Rhinolophus ferrumequinum: one gene and its partner. The protein of the gene in region 1 interacts with the protein of each later gene in a biochemical or structural test. Links are inferred from orthologs where the notes say so. Each region holds a gene or a part of one and is shown on either strand. Other genes may lie near its edges.

Region 1 (10,498 bases):
TGAACACCCTTCTATGGACTTCCTTAGGACAGACACCCAAAAGCAGAATTGCTAATAAAAACACACAGGTGTCCTACATTTTGATCGATATGCAAGGTGTCCTCCAGTGAGCTAGTATAAATTGGCATTCCCATTTTCACTGGATGGTAACACCAAATTCCCTAAACTCTCACCAACCATAAACAATAAGTCTTTAAAATTTTAACTGATGAGCCAAAGGCAATGTATTCTTGTTGCTTTACTGTACATTTTCTGACGACCAGTAGAATCGAGAGCCTTACAAAGTCTCTTGGCCAGTTACATTTCTCTTGTGCACTGTGACTTCATACTCATTGTCTATTTCATATGGTGTTGCCTGATTGAGTTACAATTAGCACATTCTGGACACCAGTGACTTGCTGTTATATACGTTGCAAATACTTTTATCTGACTTGCCATGGGTTTTTAATTTTTAATTTGGCTGTATTATAGTTTAAAATTTTTATTTAGTCAAATCTGTCCCTTTGTCCTCTACTGCTTCAGGTCTCATGCTTTGCTTAAGTAAACCTTCCCAACTCCAATGTATACCAAGCAGTAGTCTGTTTCCTTCTAATTCTTTTGTGTTGCTTCCTTACTTCTGTGTGTGGCATCAAGTATATTCCCCAAATGAACTTGCCCTTCAAGCTGTTCAACTGTCGTCCTCCTGACACCCCCACTCCCCACTGGGCTGCTTCCTTCTTTGTGACCGAAATCCCTGACACACTGAGGCCTAACAGAAGCTCCCGCTCTGTTCCACATCCTGTTCTGACACTGGCTCCATCACAGCAGCAGGGCTGTGAGCACGTGCTGTGGTCGCTCTCAGTTTTTAATGAGGTGCCGCCAAGTCTCCTTCGTTGCCTCTCTTTTTCAAACATTACTTGGCTCTGACAGTTTATTTTCCAGGTGAACTTCAGAATCAGTCTGTAAAGTTCCTTTTAAAACTCTAGATGGGATTTTCCTTTGGGTTGCACTAGATTAACAGGCTCATTTGAGAAGAATTGGTATTTTCACAGTGTTGATTAATCTCCTTTGGGAATAGGGTATATTTTATATTTATTTCTTGGGAAGTTAAACATACTCTTCTTCACATCGCCTACACATTTATTAGGTTGGGTTCTAGGCAGCGTAGGAGCGTCACTGCTATTGTGAATAAAATCTGTTTTCTCCTATATTTCTAATTGGTTACTGGGTGCCTAGGACGCTTTGATTTTCATACATCCAGCTTGTATCCAGGCTCCTTACTCAATTCTCTTACTAGTTCTAAGTCATTTCTCTTGGACGTTCTTCATAGGTACTCATTTTATTTGCAATATCATGGGCAAATCATGGTAGTCGGATCTTTTTTAAGAGGTGGATTTCATTTCTTTATTCTCATGCTTTGCATCGCTAGTCTTCAGCACAATGCTGGACAGTGCACCAGGCCCCCGGCACGTTCCAGGCTGCAGTAGGAACGTTCCCTGGGCCTTCCATTCGTTTCAGTTTCAACCTGCAACCAAAGCTCACCCCAGGAACTGCCACACTTGGGCAGATGCTTTCTAGTCTCTACTGATACTCAAAGTCCACATCACACACAACACGGCTGGTTACCATCCTCGTAACGCAAGTCTTACTGCTCAGTTTCCATGACCCCACAACAGTAGCAGCCTGAGGCTTATCTAGGCTAGGGGGACTCTAAGCAAAACAATACAAAATTAGGTACAAAATGAATATTTATTTAGAAAAGAATCACAATTTACATATCTAAAAGGCAGATTAATACCATAAACAACAAATATTATTTTCCTAGACTTTGTGATTTTTATCCTATAAATCCAGAAAAATAACATAACATTTGTATTGTCTGAAATACCTCTATGATGTGTTTCTGCTACATTATCTACTGTATACTCTTTGAGCATTTCTTCAGATTACATTTTCATAATTTATACAGAAAGGTTGACTGAATTAAAAAATGTTTTTTATCATTGATGTTCACAGCTTCTTATTGTTCACAACTTTCTTCTTCTTAAATGTTCACATCCCGTACATTTAAAATTCACTGTAAATTTGGGAAACGCTCGATCAAATTTACTCCACATACAAGGTTCCACTTGCTTAAGAAGTGTCAAATCTTAAAAGCTCTTCAAGCGTCTCTGAAGCAGCTCGCCACCCAGGCCCATGTGGGTTGTGTGACCAGCTCGCTCGTCACTGTCGTCAGTATGAAGTGTCAAATCCGGGAGCAACACACATCTCTTCCCAACACGCTCATCGCCTCCTCCTGTCTCCACTAATGAATTACCCAACAATTCCAGACCCTCTTCACCTCTTGTATTTAACATTTGTTTCTTCCTCTTAGTGAATGGTACGATCTGAAAAATTTTCTATTATAGTTTGTGCCTTGATGTCTCAATAATTTCTACTGGTATCAGTGGTCATTTCTACTACTTTTTCATATTTTATTATCTAATATTTCCCTGTTCTTTAAAAAACAAACTTAAAGGTGGCAAAAGACAGTTTGTCCAAAGTAGGAAGGTGTAGTTTCTTATTTATATTGAAATGTTGCAAAAAAATTTGTACAAATGCAATGAGGATGACACATGCTTAACTCGGGTTTTCCACATCTGTGCTCCCTGTGGAACATTTCCCACATCTGAGACACCCTGTACTCCTGGCCAGAGAGGAAGCATAATGGAGGAGTGGAAAGAGGCTTTAACTCGACAACATATGATGATGGAACCCTTTGCTAGGTCCCTCTTGGTGCCCTGGGGGGGCCTGTACAAGTGAGGGGTGCCAAACCCCACTGGCTTCAGGCTGAACTGGCACCACCCGTTGGCCTCTCTGGGCCACTGGCAGCTGTCCTCGACCCCTTAGTTGACAGTGAATGCTGGATCCCCTAGTTGTCCAGGGGTCAGCTCTGGGCCTTCCCCCCACAGCATTAAGTACCCACACCAGGTTGTGATGGCCGCCACTCAGTCATCTTGAAGCCCAGTCGGTAAACCCCCGGGTGTCTCACGGGCATCCCCAAATTACTATGCCTAAAACAGTTCCAACCCACCCCAAGGTGGTCCTCTCTCAGTCCTCCCCTCTCGTAAACAGCCCCACGAAACCCTCAGCTACTGAAGCTGACACTCTGAAGTGTCCCTTCCCCTCACCCTACAGCCAACCCATCACCACCTTCAGTCCACTGTGCCTTCAGAACACTGACTTCTCTTTCCCTCTCCCCACTGGACACCCTGATGGCCTCCTGCTCGCCCCTGCCCCTGCTCTCTCACAACTGAGCCCTACCTGTGCCTCAGCAGCCAAAGGCCGTCTGTACAACTCACAGGCCGGCCGGCCCCACTGCCACCCTTGCTGGACCCGCAGGGGTTCCAAGAAGATGGGTGGGCTCCGTGAGGCCCCCTAACTGACCTTCATGGCAGCCACTCTGCACCCTGTAACTGGAGTGGTCTGACTGTGCGCTCAACACCCAGGCAAGTGGCGGCTCAGAGCAGGTTTGATTTTAATTAGAAAAGGAAATCAATGTGATGTTTCTTACACATTGGTGTCATTACCAGCTCCAGTAAGGCCTGTGTACTGAACAGAAAATCAATTCCCCTTTCTGGCCTCCCCAAGAGCCTGGGGCCTGCTCTGTTCTGAGTTGCTAACTCCATGTCAGCCACTCTCACATGCAAAGACACTGTGGGTCATACCTGTTTCTCAGAAATACCTATTGCTGAGCTTCCCAAGGGTTTGGAGTAGAAACCCAACTACAGGCTGCACTTCGTACTCCTGAAAAGAGGGAGGGTCCCATTTCCTGAGATGGTGGAAGACAGGATGCAGGACACCCCTCTGCTGAGAACTAAAGAGCCGGGTACAGTATTAAGACAAAACCCCACATGCCTACTAGAACTGCTACCGAGGCAGTGAGGAATTGTGAGGCTAACACCCAGAAGAGGGGTCAGCCCCAGGCGAATCACCAGAAGCATCTGCTGAATCAGGAAACAGTAGCTGCAAGGCTGAGAAGCTGACCAGAACTTTCTACAGATTCCCAGGGCTGCAAGAGAAGAGTGGATTTAAAGGCCTGTGTGAAGAGGATGGGCCTCCTGGAGGTTCCCCAGGCTATGGGTTGGATCCTGGAAGAGCTACACCCCAGAGAAAGAGTAAGCAGGAAACAGACCAGCCCCAGTAAGAACTGAAGCTGGACTTTAAGTGATCCCAACCCCGTCAGGATTAAGACGCTGTGATGATTGCTAGTGGCCTAACCTAGCCGTCTGCTGTGGAAGAAGAGAACATCATCCAGGGCATCGTCCAATCATCAAATTCTCTGATTTCCTAAACATAAAACGTGCAACACGCATCCATAAAAAGTAATCAGGCATGCCAGGAAGTAAGATGTGATGAAAGAGAACAGGGATGCAGATAATGGAGTGATCAGACAAGGACTTTAAAATAACTACACTTAATGTGCTCAAGGAGCCAAAAGACGTGATTCCCAAATTTAGGGAGACCTGGAAATAAAAAACAAACAAATAAATGAAAATTCTAAAACAGAAAAACTAAATTTAAGGACTCAATGAATGGGTTTGACAGCAGATTAGATAAAGGAGAATTAGTGAACTAGAAGGCAGGTCAAAAAAATTAGAATGCAATAGAATCAAAAGGATATACAATCTAGTAAAGAGCAGAAGAGACATGTGGGATACAGTGAAAAAGGCCAAGCATATTTATAATTGGAGTTCTAGATGAAAAGCAGAAAGAGAATGGGAATCCAACACATCTAAAGAAAGAAGAGCTGCAAATTTCCCAAAACTGAAAAAAGATACCTACAGGTTCTAAAAGCACCATGAGCATCGAGAAGGATAAATGCAAGGAAAAATACATCCAGGCACAGTACAGCAGGACCGCTTATCTGCAGGGGATCCATTCCAAGGCCCTCCGTGGACTCCTGAAGTCACAGACAGTACTGAACCCTACAAACACTGTTTTTTCCTATACATATATACCCATGATAAAGTTTAATTTATAAATTAGATACAGAAAGAGATGAATACCAATAACTAATTGGTAATAAAATAGATCGATTATAATATACTGTAATAAAAGTTATATGAATGTGGTCTTGCTCTCTCTCAAAATAGCTTATACTGTACTCACCTTTTCACTTAAAGCAAGCATTTTATGGCCTTCCTTTGGCACATCTGAATTCCCAGCATTACTAGTTTTACGCTTTGGACCATTATTAGTAAAATAAGGGTTAAACACAAGCAATGCGATACTGTAACAGTCGATCTTATAACTGCGAAGGCTACTAAGTGGCTAATGGGCAGGGGGTGTTTACAGCACGGAGACACCAGACAAACGGAATGATTCACATCCTGGGAGGGGCAGAACGAGATTAGAACAGCGCACAACTTAAACCTCATGACTTGCTTATTTCTGGAATTTTCATTTAATATTTTTGGACCATGGTTCGTCACAGGTAACTGAAAGCACAGAAAGTGAAACCTTGGGTAAAGGGGGACTGCTGTATAGAACTGCTGACTGAAAATAAAGAGAAAATCTTTAAAGCAGCCAGGAAGACATGCCTTCTTCAAAGGAGCAACAATAAGACTGACAGAAAGTGTGGAAGTCAGAAAACAATGGAATAACATCCTCAGAGTGCTGACAGAAATAACTGCAAACCTGTAATTCTATACCCAGTAAAAATGTCCTTCAAAAACAGAGGACACACAAAGAAATTTTCAGAGAAACAAAAACGGGTAGAATCCATCACCAGTAAACTTACATACAGCAAATGCAGTACTGGATGGAAGGTATCCTCCAGGGTTTCTAGCTGTTCTGCTCAATGTTGAACCCTCAGCACCTACAACACGACCCAGCACAAAGGCGCTACTCAGTAAATACTGAATGAGTGCATTTAGGAAGACAACTGTCAACAGTCACTGACAATGTTACAGGAGTGAAACATGACTCAGACTACAAATGTTGCCGTAACGAATAACATTGACTCTTTCCTACAAAATCACGTCTGTCTACCTGTCTATCAAAGTACATTTCTCTCCAGCCCTACGACGCGCCGCAGAGGCCTGTTGTGCAAAATCTTGAGACCTAGACTAAGACTTGGCTCCAAGTCACGGAACCCACGTCCTGCCCGCCGCGTTAATGCCACGACCAGGCCCCGAGAGGCGAGCTCGAGCCCGGAGGCCGGGTCCTCACCACGTCCATATCCAAGGCCCGCTCACCTCACGCGCCCGTCGGTCCATCAGTCCCAGCGCAGCCGCGTGGGAAACGGGGAGGGCCACGCCTGGACCACGACTCCGCCCCACCACCACGTGGGTGCGCCGAAACCCGCCACTTCGCTACGCAGAGCCGGCGCCCGCCCCACGCGAGGTCCAGCCTCCGCCGACCAGACCACGCCCCCACCGCTCGTGGCGACCCGGCAGACCTCGCCCCGCTAGGCCCGCTCCATCCCCCCGTCCTAAGTGGCCGTCTGCCTCCTGGTTACAGGCGAGTGACAGTCCGCCGTCGCCTCGAGGTCAGTCACTCCCGCAGTCCGACAGCCCGTGCGCCCGTCCGACGGCCGGCCAGCCTGGGGCCAGCCCTTACCAGCGCCGGCTTTGGTGGGGTCGCCTGCGGACGCGCGCCAGCTGCTGCTGCGGCCCTGCTGCCACGGCTGGACGGGCGCTCGTGAGGCGGGGCGAAGGCGGGTAGGCGCGGGAATTGTGGGGACCGGGGACACCCGGACCGGCACAGGCGAGGTGGGGCCGCGCACGCTGAGGCCGCAGCGCCGCCCAGCGGACGTCGGCGCGCACGGAGGACGTCAGAGCGCCCGAGTGCGCCGCCGCGCGTGCGCACCCGCCACCAAGCCTACTCCCGAGGCACGCTGGGAGTCCGGCGCGGAGGCGTCGTCTGCGCTTGCGTGGTCCGCGATCGGTGGGTCTTCCGCAGCGCGCTCGTGAGGTCCACCCTGATCCCCTTGTCAGTTGGTGCCCAGCAAGCTACTGTCCCAGTTGAGTCACACTTTACTTTATTCCCGCAAAGAACCGACGACCCCAGCAACCAGTGGGGTCCTCATCCCACATCCGCAATGTGCTGCCCCCTGGCGGCCACGAAGATTAGGCCAGGTCTGCCGTGAGCACTGCGACGTTGGTGGGGGATATTCCAGGCCCGTCCCAGCCAGTGTGCTGTCGCTGTGAGGGACCTGCCTGACCCTGCCCCGCCACTCCGGCATTCCGGATTCCCTTTTATTATGCGTTATTTCCCTCCTTTGCACTTCCCACATTCTAAATACTATTAATTTACTTTTGAGTTCCCTTCGTCACTCTGGAGCTTGAGCTCCACGAGGGCTGGCTGAGACCTTTGCCTTGCTTTGCCCTTGGATGTAGCCCAAGAACGGTGCCTGGCACACAGTAGGTGTTCAGTAGCCGTTGGTTGAATTGATGAATTCCTGAGCGATGAGGACTCGTGGAACATCCCTGTTCTAACAAGTGTACAAGTCAGGAGGGGACGCTCTTGAATAAGTGACTGCAGCCGCTTGACAGACACGCGCGGCAGCTCTGGGCGCCCACGGAGGTGACCTGCCAAGGCAGTGTCCACCTCAAGAGTTGTTCAAGCATAATGCTATACGTCCTGATGTGCAAGTTTAAAAAATTAAGCAATGCACCCTCCGAGGTCGTTCCGTGTCAGTATAGTTTTGTTACCTAGCAGAGTATGGATGTGTCGTAAATTATTTAACCATTTCCTGCTTATAGACCTTTAGATTGTTTCCAGGTTTGGACGGTTACAAAAGGCTGCAAAAAGACGTTTTGAACGTGTCTCCTGCGTTCATGCATGAATAGGTCTCTTGATTGATACGGCGAAATGGGTGTGTGCGTGTTTTACATAAGACACATTGCGCTCCCAAAAGCCTGACGAATTAATTACAGTCTCACCCATGTCAGCACGTCCACAACAAACAATCGTCAATCTCTCCCACTTCCAGTCTGGTAGCAAAGAAGTGTCGGGTATTTTGTTTCTGCCCCGGAACCGGCCTGGTGCTGGGAGGAGGCGGAAGAAGGGAGACGCGCCGCGGTCTCGGTGGGGGTCGCCCCCTCCCGCGCGCCTGCGCCCCTCTTGGCGAGCTGGCCCGTGCCCTGCCTGTTCTGGCAGATAAAGCCGAAAGGCCCATTGGGGCCAGAAAGTGGAAAATCATATGTGGACGCGGAGCTTGACGCTGGGCTCCGCGGAATGCGGCGACACTTAATTAGAGGCGATGGCTCGGCGCGCGTCTCGGAAAGAGCCGCTGGGACAGGCCCTCCCCGGGGCCAGTGCCCGCCGCCCCGCCGGGACCCCGCCCCGACCGGCGGCCCCGCCCCCAGTCCAGGCCGCAGCAGCTGGTCGGGTTTGCGGCGGCGCGGCGCGAGGTGAGTTGCAGATTCTGGGGTTCCCGGGGTTCGAGGGTCCTGGGGTCCGAGCGGGCCAGGTTGCGGGGGACCTTCTGCGGCGCCCCCTGGCGGAGCGGGCGAACTCGGGCGACACTGCGGGCGTGTTCTGGGGCCCGAGAAGGGCGCGGCCGGGCGCCGGGGACCCTGTCCGAGCGCCGTCTGAGCGCGGCCCGTTTCTTCCTAGAGTGACCGCGCCGACCCCAGCCCGAGGCCACCCGGAAACACGCGGAGCCTCGGGCCGGCGCGGAGGGCGGCGGCGGCCCTGGGCGGCCTCGCGCGGACCCCCGTTCGCTCCCGGCTGTTCCCCGCGCCTCGCAGAGGTAACCTGCGGTCCAGGGCTACCCTGCTCGCGGCTCAGTGACCCGGAAGACATAGGGACATAGGCCGTGGGCGCTGCCCCGGTGAAGGCCTAATCCCATCTCGTGCCCTCAGGGCAGGTCCTGCTGAGCTGCTAGTTGTCACACTTGAAACCACTGATTAGGGGCGTTGTTCTGCTCCTGGACCCCAGACTTGGGACCCTAGGAAGCAGCCCAGCTGGGGGACTGACTCCCAGTGAGGCGGTGGGCCTGAAATGTGCTTGTCCAGGTTTAGATTAGGGGCCTTTAACCGGGGCATCTTTTGGGCGATGTTGCATGTTTTCATGGGGTTCTCAAAGGGATCATTGAGCCCCAGAAATTAAGAAATGTCTTCCTGGCCCAAAGGCCCAACCAGGGGGACACCCCAATGTCTGGTTAAGCCTGGGCCCAGGAGGGCTCAGAATCAGCAGGCCGGTCCATGACTGAAGATTCTGAGTCAGGGTTTGGGTGACCACACCCTGGGCTCCCAGCAGGGGCGGATACGCTTTTGCTCACATGCTCTGGCTACGGATTGGGTAGACTCAACTCCTCTGTGTGACAGTTGGGTGACATGGCCAGTCCCAGATGCCCTCACCTCAGTTTCAGCAGGCCCATCTGCTGGGATCAGCAAACATGAATTTTTCCTGCTGGCCGTCACTCAGGAGTGGAAGTGGAGCATTGGCCTGGGCCACTCTCCCCTCTGTGGGCTCCATTCAGCAAAGCCAGGCAGTGCCAAGCTGGCACACAAACATGTGAGGCACTGTTCTCAGGAACCCGGGGATTTCAGGGAGCCAGGTCCTCACATGGGGCTGAGTCATTCTGTTGGGCAGGGCCATTTTAAAGGGCAGCTCAAATCGCATCACTTCCAGGACTTTCTGCAGCACCTGAATGAAAGCCAACTCCCTGCATCTCAGCACCCAGGGCTCTTCTCCCAACCCCACCTTCAGGGCCTCAGGTTACTGTGTATTCAGGCTCCGGCTGGTCCCTGGTGAGCTTAGGGCCTTTCACCTGCTCCCAGCCCGCCTGCTGGACCTCTGGCTTCCCAGACCTGAGACCGGTTGGCTCACTCCTCCCCCTCCCGTCTTCCACCTAGAAAACCCCGCCTCTCTCATCATGAGTGTGGACATCCACTACGAGCAGCTGAGTGACGACCAGTGGAGGGAGCTCCTGCCTCGGATGCAGCAGCAGCAGGTGGTCAGGTAGAGACGCCCTTGCCCACGCCCTTGCGGGGTGGCCGGTGGGCTGGGGGCCCACGAGTGGGCGTGCTGGGCTCTGAAAGCTCTCAGCTCGTGGACACACAATGTAGACTCTGTGTCACATGGTGTGAAAGGTTATTCTTGTATTTTACCCAACCATTTAAAAACGTGAGCCTGTTCCCAGGTGGGCGGAGTGGCCGGCCAGGGTCTCTGGCTCGGCTCCTTCCTCAGGGACGCAATCACGTCAGTTGGCTGCGTGCAGGTGTGGCTTGTCCCTTCGCTGCCCGTTCTCACACAGCAGTTCCTCAGGCTTCACAACAGATACCTGCCTGCTTGTCTTAAACTTTTGGACGTAGATTGAGGTTCACAGAAGAGTTATGAAGATGCTTTGGGGGCTCTGTGCCCCTCGTCCCGTGTCCCCTGAAGTCAGTGCCCCATCACCTGGGCCACTGGTCAAACTGAGGAGCCCAGTACAGCCACCTTGACTCCGGTATCACCAGCATTCCCAGTCAGTGCAGGATCCCACGGACCATTTGTCGTCAGGTCTCCTTGGCCCCCTCCCATCTGG
Region 2 (10,528 bases), on another chromosome or scaffold:
AGGGGTCTGGAATAGCCCAAAACGCGCCAGACTGGCTCACCTCCAACTGACTCCAGCTCCCGGTATTTTGTTGCCGACCAGTCCTGCCCTAGGATCTTCTGCTCGCACGAGGTACTGGTAGCATGGGACCGATACACTTCCTGTGCGTCTGTCCTGGGGCTCAGGACCCTACAGTGTTGCCACCGAACCGCGCTCCGGCCCTCGGGCTCCAATCCGGTTCCCTCGAGAGTCGAGCACGTGGCTACACCCGTTCGGACGGGGTTTGGTGGAACTCAGCAATGTGGGCTGAAGTCTGAAAAAGCTGCCTCTCCTCACCCCATCTAGCGTCTGGAAGGAGGGTCCAGGACGTAAATCTGGGAGAATAAGCGAGGCCAGAGCTAGAGTTAGACGTGAGACTTCATGAAGATGGAAGGAAAAACTAGGCAAGGCAAAAAGTAATTTCACAACCGAAAACAAAACTCTAGAATAGCCTGGTGGCCAGTTGCTGACCGGAAAATGAAATCCAGGGTAAACAGTGGTGCAGGATGGCTGGCTGTGGCTCGTTGGCCTAGCGGTAGGATTCTTGCTTTGGGTGCATAGAAGTCCCACTTTCAAATCGCGGACAAGCCCTGACTTTCTGAATTTCTTTTGCGCCCCCTTTGGGAACTTTCCCAAAAGTTCCGTGCAAACTTGCACGCGTTCCGAACTGTTCTGCAAAAGAGGTACACTTAACAAACACAGGGTAGATGAGACTGATGGCCTGAGAGGGACGAAATTGCCTGGCTTCCTGAACTTTAGGGGCCTGATAGCTCCTGGGAGCAGGGGCCCGTGTCGTGCCTTGGCTCCGGGGCGGTTGTGGCGCGGTCTGCGGGTTGTCCCGGCAGCCCGCGTCTTCGAGGCCGCTGCGTCTCGTACTCAGCTACAGGCTCTCTCCAGTCTGGAATAGCGCGACATGAGCCAGACCATAAGCAGGGACCCGCCCCGCTGTGCATGGGGCGGGAGCTGCTGTGGAGCCTTCTCGGGAGGCGGGTCCAGGCGCTAAGGGGTCTCTTCTGAGAAACAGGGTGCGGTCCCAACTACCCGGGACCTAGCCAGCCGACCCCAACCTCCTCGCTGCACCCGCGTCTCGTCAGTGTACTAACGCTCAGCCGACGCAGATCCAAAGCAGGACTCAAAACATCATTTTTGCGTTTTCTACCAGCTCCCCACCATCATACAAAGGAGAAGCGGGTGAGAAACAAAAACTTCTCTTTCCACTGTCCTGCGCGTTTCTGCAGCTTTGTTCCTAAGTGGGTTCACATTTCTGCTCCTCCTTCTCCTCGTCTGTAGCTTTACCAGGGGTGTTTTGGCCGAGGGATTCTCTTCTTAGCAGAGGCAGTTGGGGGGCTCCTCCGAGAGAAGTTTTTGGAACCGGACTGGAGGAGCTGAGAAATGGGAAGGAAGATAAAAGTGCTGTACTTGTAGAGTTAGCGATTCTACATTCACACCACATGTTTACTTTCTGCAGCTGGGCAGAGATGGCAGCACAAATGCCTATTGCCTAGAACGTAAGCTTGGAGGGGATCACCGCGTTGGTGAAGCCCAGGGAGACCGGGGAGGCCTGCACTAGCTCAAACTAGTAAGGATTCTTTGCTTGGTACCCAGATTGATCGGCAGATTTACGAAGCAGGCCTTGTCCAGTTTTTGCAAGCGGAACTGACATTTGGGGACTGGTGTTTTCATTTTCTGTCTGCTCACCGCTGTCTCCTCACCCTTAACCCACCTTCAGCCAGTGTGTGAAGTTCTTGCAGACACTGACAACAGCCTCTTCTTGAAGCTTTCTTAGTGGAACATTGGGATCTTCAGCTTTCTTACTCTGAGACAACACATCAAGTGATAACAGCACATGGGCATAAACAGGACATCTTTATTTAGGAAGGACAGTAAAAACAGTTTCAGCACCATTCTAGGGATTAGGGAAATCTAAAATGAGCCAAGACCTTCCCTCTGTGTCATTAAGAACCTTATAATCAAATCATAAATGTAACCACCAGAAACCCAAGTGACACAATTAGCTAAACAGCACATGGCCAACTTCCTAGAAGCAGCCTCAAGTATTCAAAGAGCTACTTAGCTATACAGCTACTAACTAGTTAGTGCAGAGGATAATTGTGTTACAGACACTTTATTTCAAGCAAAATTTTTGTTAACAGATAAAGGGGGAGTAAAAGCATTTTTGGAATTTATGGAAATATTCAAAGTAGTTTTCTCTTAAACGGCAAATTTCATGAGCACTTTTAAAATTAGCCTTGATTTTCTAGAATTACTAGTATAGAATATGAAAGCTATGTGGTGCATTGGAAAGCCTCTAGTCCTGGGAATGATAGATGTTCCTTGAGCAACACATTTTCTCTTTCTCTATTCTTCAGATTCCACATCTGTAAAATGAGGAGTTAACAGATGGTCTCTGAGGTCCCTCTCTTTCTTATTCTATGACTGCATCGAGTGGCCAGGTATTATAACAGGACTCTTATAAAAAAAGAAGATACTCTAGTAATGAGGAGAAGAACTCTCATTTGGCAGAGAGAATGGGGAAAACCATTCCAGGAAAAGAGGAATGGCTCTGGCTATTGTCAAAAGTGCAGATGCCAGGTTATAAGCAGGTTATCGTGCAGTTATTGCTGGAAGCATTTTCCAGTGTGATTCATAAATTAAAGTAGATGACTAAGAAAGTGGACCAAAGCAGGCCAGCAAAACCCTTCTTTAGAAGTTTTCATTATACTGCATTTGAGCAAAGAACAATCTCTGTAAACAGTTATTCTCAGAAGAACATTTTGAAATAGCAGGGAAAGAGAGAATGGGCACAAAGCCCAGAGTTTGTTGAAAAGTGAATGATTAATTGTTGTTTGTTTGGAAATAGAGCCATGTCAGCAGGACTTTGTCCTCATTCTCCCTCTGTCAATAGTGTTTCCCCTTCCTGGAGGTGGAGGCATGATCCTTCCTTCTTATGTGAACTTCCTCCTCTTTTAACCATTACTTCTGTTACTAAATAAGTTCCATGCTCATAGACCTAAAATATGTAAGAATTATAAAGGAACTTAAAAACTAACCCCTTCCCTCCATTACCTAATTTTACAATTAGTCTTTAGGACAGAAGTAAACATATGTACTTTGTCTAAAGGGGGAAAGTACACCAGCGCGAGAGTCCTTAGAAGGAGAACCCATGCTTCCTGTATCTGTGTGCAAGGAAACTATTGGCTTGAAGTAGAGACATAGAAAAACATTTCGGAAGAAGGGGAATAACTTTCAAGTTGAAGCTGTCAGAACATTTTTTAAATATATGAGTATGTTTTTCAATTGGCAATTGCTTCACACCTATTAAAATTACTGACAAAGATATAATGTTCATTAATCGTAGACTATAATTCTTCGTATTTTGAAATACAAAGGAGTAAGCACTAAGCTGCATTTTAATGAAGTCATAAAACTTTTTTCCCTAAAAAACTTTATTTTCTGTTTCATCATAACTTCATTGTGCCAAGCTGAGAATAAAAACAATTAGAATGAAAGCAACCATTCCCCATTCACCCTGACTCTTTACATTGTCAACTATGTAGACAGGTTGTGAATTCTCCCAAGGTTGTCCAGTGAAATCCTAGAGGCACAGAAGGGATGTGGCTGTGTTCAGAGGCTGGAAGCTGCTACTCAGCACCATTGCGTAACTCCAAAATCAGAGACTGATCTGTTTGTGTGAGTTGGTGCTTGAACTAGTGTTTCAGGCCATGGGACTGTGTGTGTGTGGTTGTGTGTGTGTGGTTTTGTGTGTGTGTGTGTGTGTGTGTGTGATGTTGGAGTGGGGTACTTTATCTCTGCTTTTAGGTCATTTATCAGAAAAGGGTTGTGTTGATCAAGTCATCTTGCTCCCCACAGGCTGTGGGAGTTGACTGCTTATTCTGTCTTTTGGGACTGCTGAGGCAATCGTGGGGTGTTGCAATGGGCCTGGCAGCTGGCTTCTCTAACAAATAACTGGTTGATAGCTTTTTAGAACTCATTTCTTCAGTGTCTCTTTAAAAAGTGATATGTGATTAACTTAAAATAGGCACTGCTATCAAATAGTTTGTCTGCCCACAAAAGGAAAATGAGCATTTGGGCACTCTGCTAAATGCCAGTAGGGGCCTCACTCTATGGTCCCCATGTCCTATTATTTCTTTTTGCTCCTAAAAGACTTTGAACTTGGGTGTTTGGCAGAACAACTGATCAGAGACAGGCCTGTCCCTTCCCTTCCAGAGACTTCAGTAACCCTGGGGCACCAGGTACTGAAGGAAAGGCAATTTGTGGCACTTTGCTTGGTATTCTCACTACCTCCAACATTTTCCCTTTAGCTCAGGATTCGGTTGGGGATGCAGGGAAGAAAGGGGAGGACAGGGGTAAAACGTGAAGCTCAGGCAGGACTGTGTCCCAACACAACTGAAAAGCAGGTGAAGTTTGTTCTTTTTCAGGTTCTCCATGCTGCCCACTTTTCTTCCTCAAAGCCTCAGGCCCTTCCAGTTACCCAAAGCTGTTCTTAAGATAGGCTGTAGAGCACATGCCCAAGGGTGTGGACTCACTGACAGCTGTTTAAAGAGTTAATCTCTGCTAGGGATTTTTGCACTGGGACAGGGACCAATACCTCAAAAACAAAGATAAACATGGGCTTTCAGGATTTATCAGTAAGCTAAAAGCAGAGCGTTCCTGGGACCCTTGGAAGCCACCTTGTTCTACCTGGGAATCAGTCCTGCCTTGTTTGGTAACTGCTACCAAACCCAATTGTGTTGGTGAGCCTTAACGTTTTCGCACTGATTGCGGCGTTTGACTTTACCCCACGAGTTCAGTGTTCCAGAAAGGAAGTTTAGGAAAGCAGATATACATTTTCCTATATTTTTGTGTTTTTCAAGAATGAATAATAATAGGAAATTTTTATACTTTAAAGTAATTATTTAATAAAATGTAGCACCTTAACTGTATCTACTTAAAAATATAAATACTGTAATTATTTTTTGTGGATTTCTGACACCTTTTGGAGAACAAATTTGAAATCAATTAATGCAGTGAAAAGGTTAAGAGAAGCCAGGAGAGTTTGTATGGTTGGAGTCTCCACAGTGAGATCAGAGAGAGAGCATTGCTAAACCATGAGGGATAACAAAAAGACCTTGGGCCCTAGAAGTCAATCACTGTTTTAGAAACTAAGACTGTAGAGATGAATAAGACAATTATTCTTCTCTCAAAGGGTTCTATCTAATAGAGAGACAAGAAGATCAATTAACCACCAAAGGAGTGATGGTTATCAGTGTTGCAATGATGATGGAGATCACCAGTTTTGCAACTGAGCTACAAGCATAGAAAACTGAGTGCCTCAGGGTTAGTATCTAGTGCACAGCTAAGGATGAAAGGAAGAAGAAGTCCAGGAAATATAGCCAGGATATTTCAGAGGGTTAGTTAGTAGCTGGGAGGTTGAGGTCAGGGGCAGGGTACTAATAGCTATCACATAACCTTCTCTAGAAGTGCTTTCCTGGTTCTGTGAAATCTATGGAATAACCTACTTATTGGCATTGCATCCTTTCATTAAACCAAATTATGTGGGTAAATACAAAGTACACTGGAACAGCATTCTGCTAGGAGATCACATTTGCTCTGCAGTTCTGCTAGGAGACCACATTTGCTCTGCCAGTTTCAAGGCAGTTCTTGGAGTTGGTCCAGAGATCAGGAACATCTTCTGGATCCAGATCATTGTGTGTGTGAACAACGAAACCTCGGTCTTGTCATGGGTAAGAGTAAGAACCACGCACATCGGAAAAAGAGCAGCTTTGGCACAAGAGGCCATGTTTATCCACTAATCCATTCCAGTGGGTGAATATTTGACCCAGTCATACCCAGAGAAAAGGTGAATGACTTTTCTTGTTTGTCCAAGAGAAGTGTCCTTGGTTTTCCTGTCTCTGCCAGGATTGAGGATCTTTGGAACTAGTCTCCCCACCCATTTCATCTGATCACTATATAATCAGAACCATAGGGGCCTCTAGGTTCACGCAGCTGGAACCCATCTCCTGGAACAAACAGCTGGAAGCCACCTTCAGTTGGAGGGAAATTTCCAGATTTTTGTAAGATTATTCTCACCCCTGGGTAATCTATTGTTCTCTTTGTTTATATATATATATATATATATATATATGTATATATATATATATATATATATATATATATATATATATATATATACATATATATATATATATATTATTTCTAGCCATCTATCCATTGCAATGAGGCCATTGCCCTCCTTTTTAAAGCCTCTGGGCCCAAGCTAATGAATTAAGGAGAAAATGAATCAGATTCTAAAGTTTAAAATGAAAACAGATTTCTTTGGGGCTAGCATATATGTGGATAAAGGGACATTTAGTGAGACCGGGAGTAAGTGGAGGTTGCAGAGAGATTCCTGAACTGTGATAAAATCTTCAAAGACCTGGGGAAGCCATTTGCTGAAGAGCATTGGAGCCCCCCTGAGCACAGGCATTATATGTGATGGAACAAGGAAAGAAACAGAAAGCATGCTTTTAGCTGTTTTCTTCTAACCTTCCCTACTAATTTTTTTCCTTAAAAAAGTTTTGATTGCTCTGTGAGAGCAAAGTGGTACACATCCCAAGATCAAAAGAAGGTACACTTGCAGGTCGAAGGGAAGAAAGAAGGAAAGGAGATAAAGAGTGTTATGCTTTCGCTTTGGGGGACATTGCCCTAGAATATATAAAAAGTGTGAAACTACATTTATGGAAATTATAACCACAGTTACTCGTCATAGACTGTCAAGTTAGCTCCCTGGTGTGTAAAGTTGGATGGATCTCTTGAGTATAAAACATTGTCAGTGGAGAGAGAAAGAGAATATTGATTCTTGTGAAGACTAAGGGCTTGGTTTGAGATAGAGGATCAAGTTCATATAAAGAACAGTTGGGACGAATTGCACGGACAAAAAGCTGACTGACAGTTATGTGCTTGTATATGGGAGGATATGTGTGAATGAGTTTGACCACCAAATGTAAGGCTGTGCACACTTGGCCTAGGCAGATTCACTTCTGCACTACAAATAGTCTGTCTCGTACTTGTTTTCTCCCAATTCCATTGGACCTCTTTATTTTGGAAATGTATAACTGAATACATGGATGAGGATGTGAGTAGGGGAGCAGATGTTAGATACTGGTGGCCGTGCTGTGTACTGGCTGGGATTTGGTTTCTGCATGACTTAGGGAGTCAAGATTATAAAAAGCCTGAGCAAAATTTAGCTAAGTTGTTATGGAAGGAATGTGCAATTCTACAAATTAGAACCAAAAATTCTCCTTTACCTCTCCAGAGTGGGATGTGAGGGTTCAACCTCCAACCAGCAAGTGGCTGTGTAGGATGTGAAGCCCTGTGCAGCGTCAGTCCAGTGCCTTCACTAGAGGTGGTCCATGGGCTTGGCTTACATGCTGAGCCTTGAGAAATGATGCATCTCAGTGAGACTGGGCCACAGGTCATCCGATCATCTTCCACCCGGTGCCCTGTGCCACCAACTAAACTTATACAAACTTGTCTCTGTAATTCTACAGTCACTCTACTTTTGCTAGTGAAACTAGACACGATTCTCTTACGCTTAATGAGAACTATGGAATTTCAGAATTTAGAGTTAGCAACTTTCTCATTTTATAAATGAACAAACTTAGGTCTGGAGAGGAAAATGAAGTCAATTATTTAAAAAAAAAAGTTATTGAGGGTCTACTATGAGGCAGGCAGTGTGACTCAAAGTGAATAATATGGGCTCTGCTTATACACCAGTGGGAAACACTGACAAGTCAACAGGTAATTGTCCGTCCAAGAGTACATGTATAAAGACTTGGAAATAGCACCCATGAAAACTGGCAATAGGTACCGTATTTCCCCCAAAATAAGACCGGGTCTTACATTAATTTTTGCTCCAAAAGATGCATTAGGGCTTATTTTCAGGGGATGTCTTATTTTTTCAACTCAGGAAATAATGGTTGCCGACCTGATCCACACTTACGCTTCTTAGCATTTCCCTCGTCCACCTGTTGACTGAGGTTATGGTCTCTGCTGGCCATTTTCGGACCATTCGGAGATCCAACTTCTTCTCTTTGCAGAAAGCCATAAGATTCTTGCCCTGGGAATCCTCCACGATTCCTTTCTTGTACTCCATGGAATAGCTCTTTCTTTTTGCACTCATCTAGTCTGGGGGTCAAAATATCATTCCCTTTAAATCTACCATTATGTCAAGTGTTAATTGAAGGCTTAGGAGACAAGAGTGGCAACAAAAATGATGACAGTTAAGAATAATAGTCCACACAAAAGCGACGAAAAATTGCAGGCACCAAAATTCAGAAAATGTTTCTTTATTTCAAATGAGTACATTAAGTACGTCCGTTACAATACACGATGTATTGAATTATGAAGATTCATATTAGACACAACCATGTCCGTTCGTTATCAAGTGCGCATGTTATTCATGCGTTGTGTCTGTAATCTGATTGGTCATTCGGCAATAAGTCTGGAGATCATCTGTTTACATAGGCAATTACCTCTCATCTAGAGGCGCCCGCTTGGGTATTTACTTAATTATAATTTATATTATCATTTATTTTAAGTATTAATGTCAAAAATATTATTTATTTATATTAATTATGTATTAATATTATTATTTTATAATTCAATACATCCATCGTGTGTTGCAACGGACGTACTAAATGCATCCATCTGGCTGACGATCTTAACTGGGGCTTATTTTGGGGGAGGGCTTGTACTATTATGAACATCCTAAAAAAATCATGCTGGGGCTTATTTTCCGGTTAGGTCTTATTTTGGGGGAAAATACGGTATCTATTTTGCTCTGTTCCTCTGGACAGATACTGAGCTTTGTGACTTTTGCTTTGACGCTTGTCTCTAGTGGGATGGCCTTGGTCTTAATATCTAAAGCATAAAGTGTTTGGACAGAGACTCTAGACAGGCCTGCCACCTCAGACTCCCTTCTATGAACAACAGTATCTCCACAACCTGTATGGTGCGGGCACCTTTTACAAGGACCCTGTATGTCCTCTACAGTGTGGAAGACATTGGCAACATTTCTATCCATCACTGCCACCTAATGACTCTTTTGAGTACTACCAGCTCTTGGTTCTTCCTAATTTTGAACTCTGGGATTCTGGTCCCAGGCAAAGAGGCGTTGACTCTGTGACCTCTGAGGTCCTATTCGATCTTGGGAGCCCGTGATTCTACAGTTACCTTTGACGTTAGAAGGCAATATTTGTCCATCGCAGAGCAAGAGACCTAATTGAATCCAAATCAATAAAACTTTGATGAGATCTTCCAAAAAAAACTAGAAAGAGAAAACACACCCAAAAGACTAAAAAGCACAATGTAAATGTAAAGGGTTTGGTAAATGGGGTGCATGGCAAGCCAGCAGCTCTGTTGAAGCAGTGGCCATGTATGAATACTCGTTTTTCCTTTAGTGGTGGCTCTCCCCTCTGCAATCATGTACCACTTTCTTGCTAAACGCCCAAGACCACGCTTTTGCTTGATTTTATTACCAATTATAATCTGTGTGCTAAATGGCAACTTTTTCAGCTGCAATTTATTTCAGTATTGTGGAATGACCCAAAATTTTCTTAGTGTATAATTTGGTATTCAGCAGTGTGCCAATTTTGTCTATAGTTATTATGAAACAGACAGGGTGGATCAATGCCAAATGCTGTTGAGAAAGAGCTCACATTGCTCATTCTGTTACATGCCTTCTCATGTACCATCAGAACCCTGGATTCCCTTGTCTTTCTAGATTTACAGTCATACTCCCAGAGCTGTTTAGTAACACTACAGGCTTAGTGCTAGGACCTGTGGCATCTTTAAGGGCTATAAAGAATTGGATATGAAAATAATGTTTATTGACTTACACACAAGAAAAGCGCAAAATAAAAATTCAGAATTAATTTAATGTCTATGAAAATATATCATGTGTTTTTAAATTTACAATTTATATGAATTACATTTAAGAATAATTTGAAGGTCAAATTTTTCTCCAATTGTAAGAATTTCTCAGTATGTGTGATGATTGCCAAGAAATCATAGCCAATTATAAAGTAAATGAGTTACTCATAGACAAACAATTTGAAAAGCAAAATTATAAAAATCATTTTCAAGTTTATAGTGTAAAGTCATTTTTATTATTGTATGTGGGGACATTCACATATATTTGATACAATGGGGAAGGACTCTGATGGTTTTTAAAGGCTCTGAATGTGTTTTAAGATTTTCTCCAGCGAATTAAAAGTATAGTCAGAAACTACCCTGTTTCCCCGAAAATAAGACCTAGTCGGACCATCAGCTATAATACGTCTTTTGGAGCAAAAATTAATATAAGACCCAGTCTTATTTTACTATAAGACCGGGTATAATATAATATAATAAAATACTGGGTCTTATATTAATTTTTGCTCCAAAAGACGCATTAGAGTTGATTGTCCAGCTAGGTCTTATTTTCGGGGAAACATGGTACCTGCTATAA

What was found. The genes of interacting proteins can lie anywhere in the genome.
Region 2: the proteins of RNH1 (region 1) and ANG are reported together in a solved structure, tested with the Homo sapiens proteins (3 studies listed by BioGRID and IntAct, with this or other methods). The link is inferred for Rhinolophus ferrumequinum from reciprocal best matches to the Homo sapiens genes RNH1 and ANG.

The regions. Positions count from the first base shown.
Region 1 is NC_046294.1:269,863-280,360, reverse strand, and holds the start of RNH1 (ribonuclease inhibitor), read left to right. Parts: upstream 1-6,123; 5' UTR 6,124-6,138; coding exon 6,139-6,511; intron 6,512-7,957; exon of another isoform or gene 7,958-8,227; coding exon of another isoform or gene 8,228-8,378; intron 8,379-8,583; exon of another isoform or gene 8,584-8,719; intron 8,720-9,594; exon of another isoform or gene 9,595-9,622; coding exon of another isoform or gene 9,623-9,722; intron 9,723-9,827; coding exon 9,828-9,933; intron 9,934-10,498. UniProt on the Homo sapiens protein: Ribonuclease inhibitor which inhibits RNASE1, RNASE2 and angiogenin (ANG). May play a role in redox homeostasis. Required to inhibit the cytotoxic tRNA ribonuclease activity of ANG in the cytoplasm in absence of stress.
Region 2 is NC_046289.1:71,767,757-71,778,284, forward strand, and holds the start of ANG (angiogenin), read left to right. Parts: upstream 1-6,004; 5' UTR 6,005-6,092; exon of another isoform or gene 6,093-6,114; intron 6,115-10,528. UniProt on the Homo sapiens protein: Secreted ribonuclease that can either promote or restrict cell proliferation of target cells, depending on the context. Endocytosed in target cells via its receptor PLXNB2 and translocates to the cytoplasm or nucleus.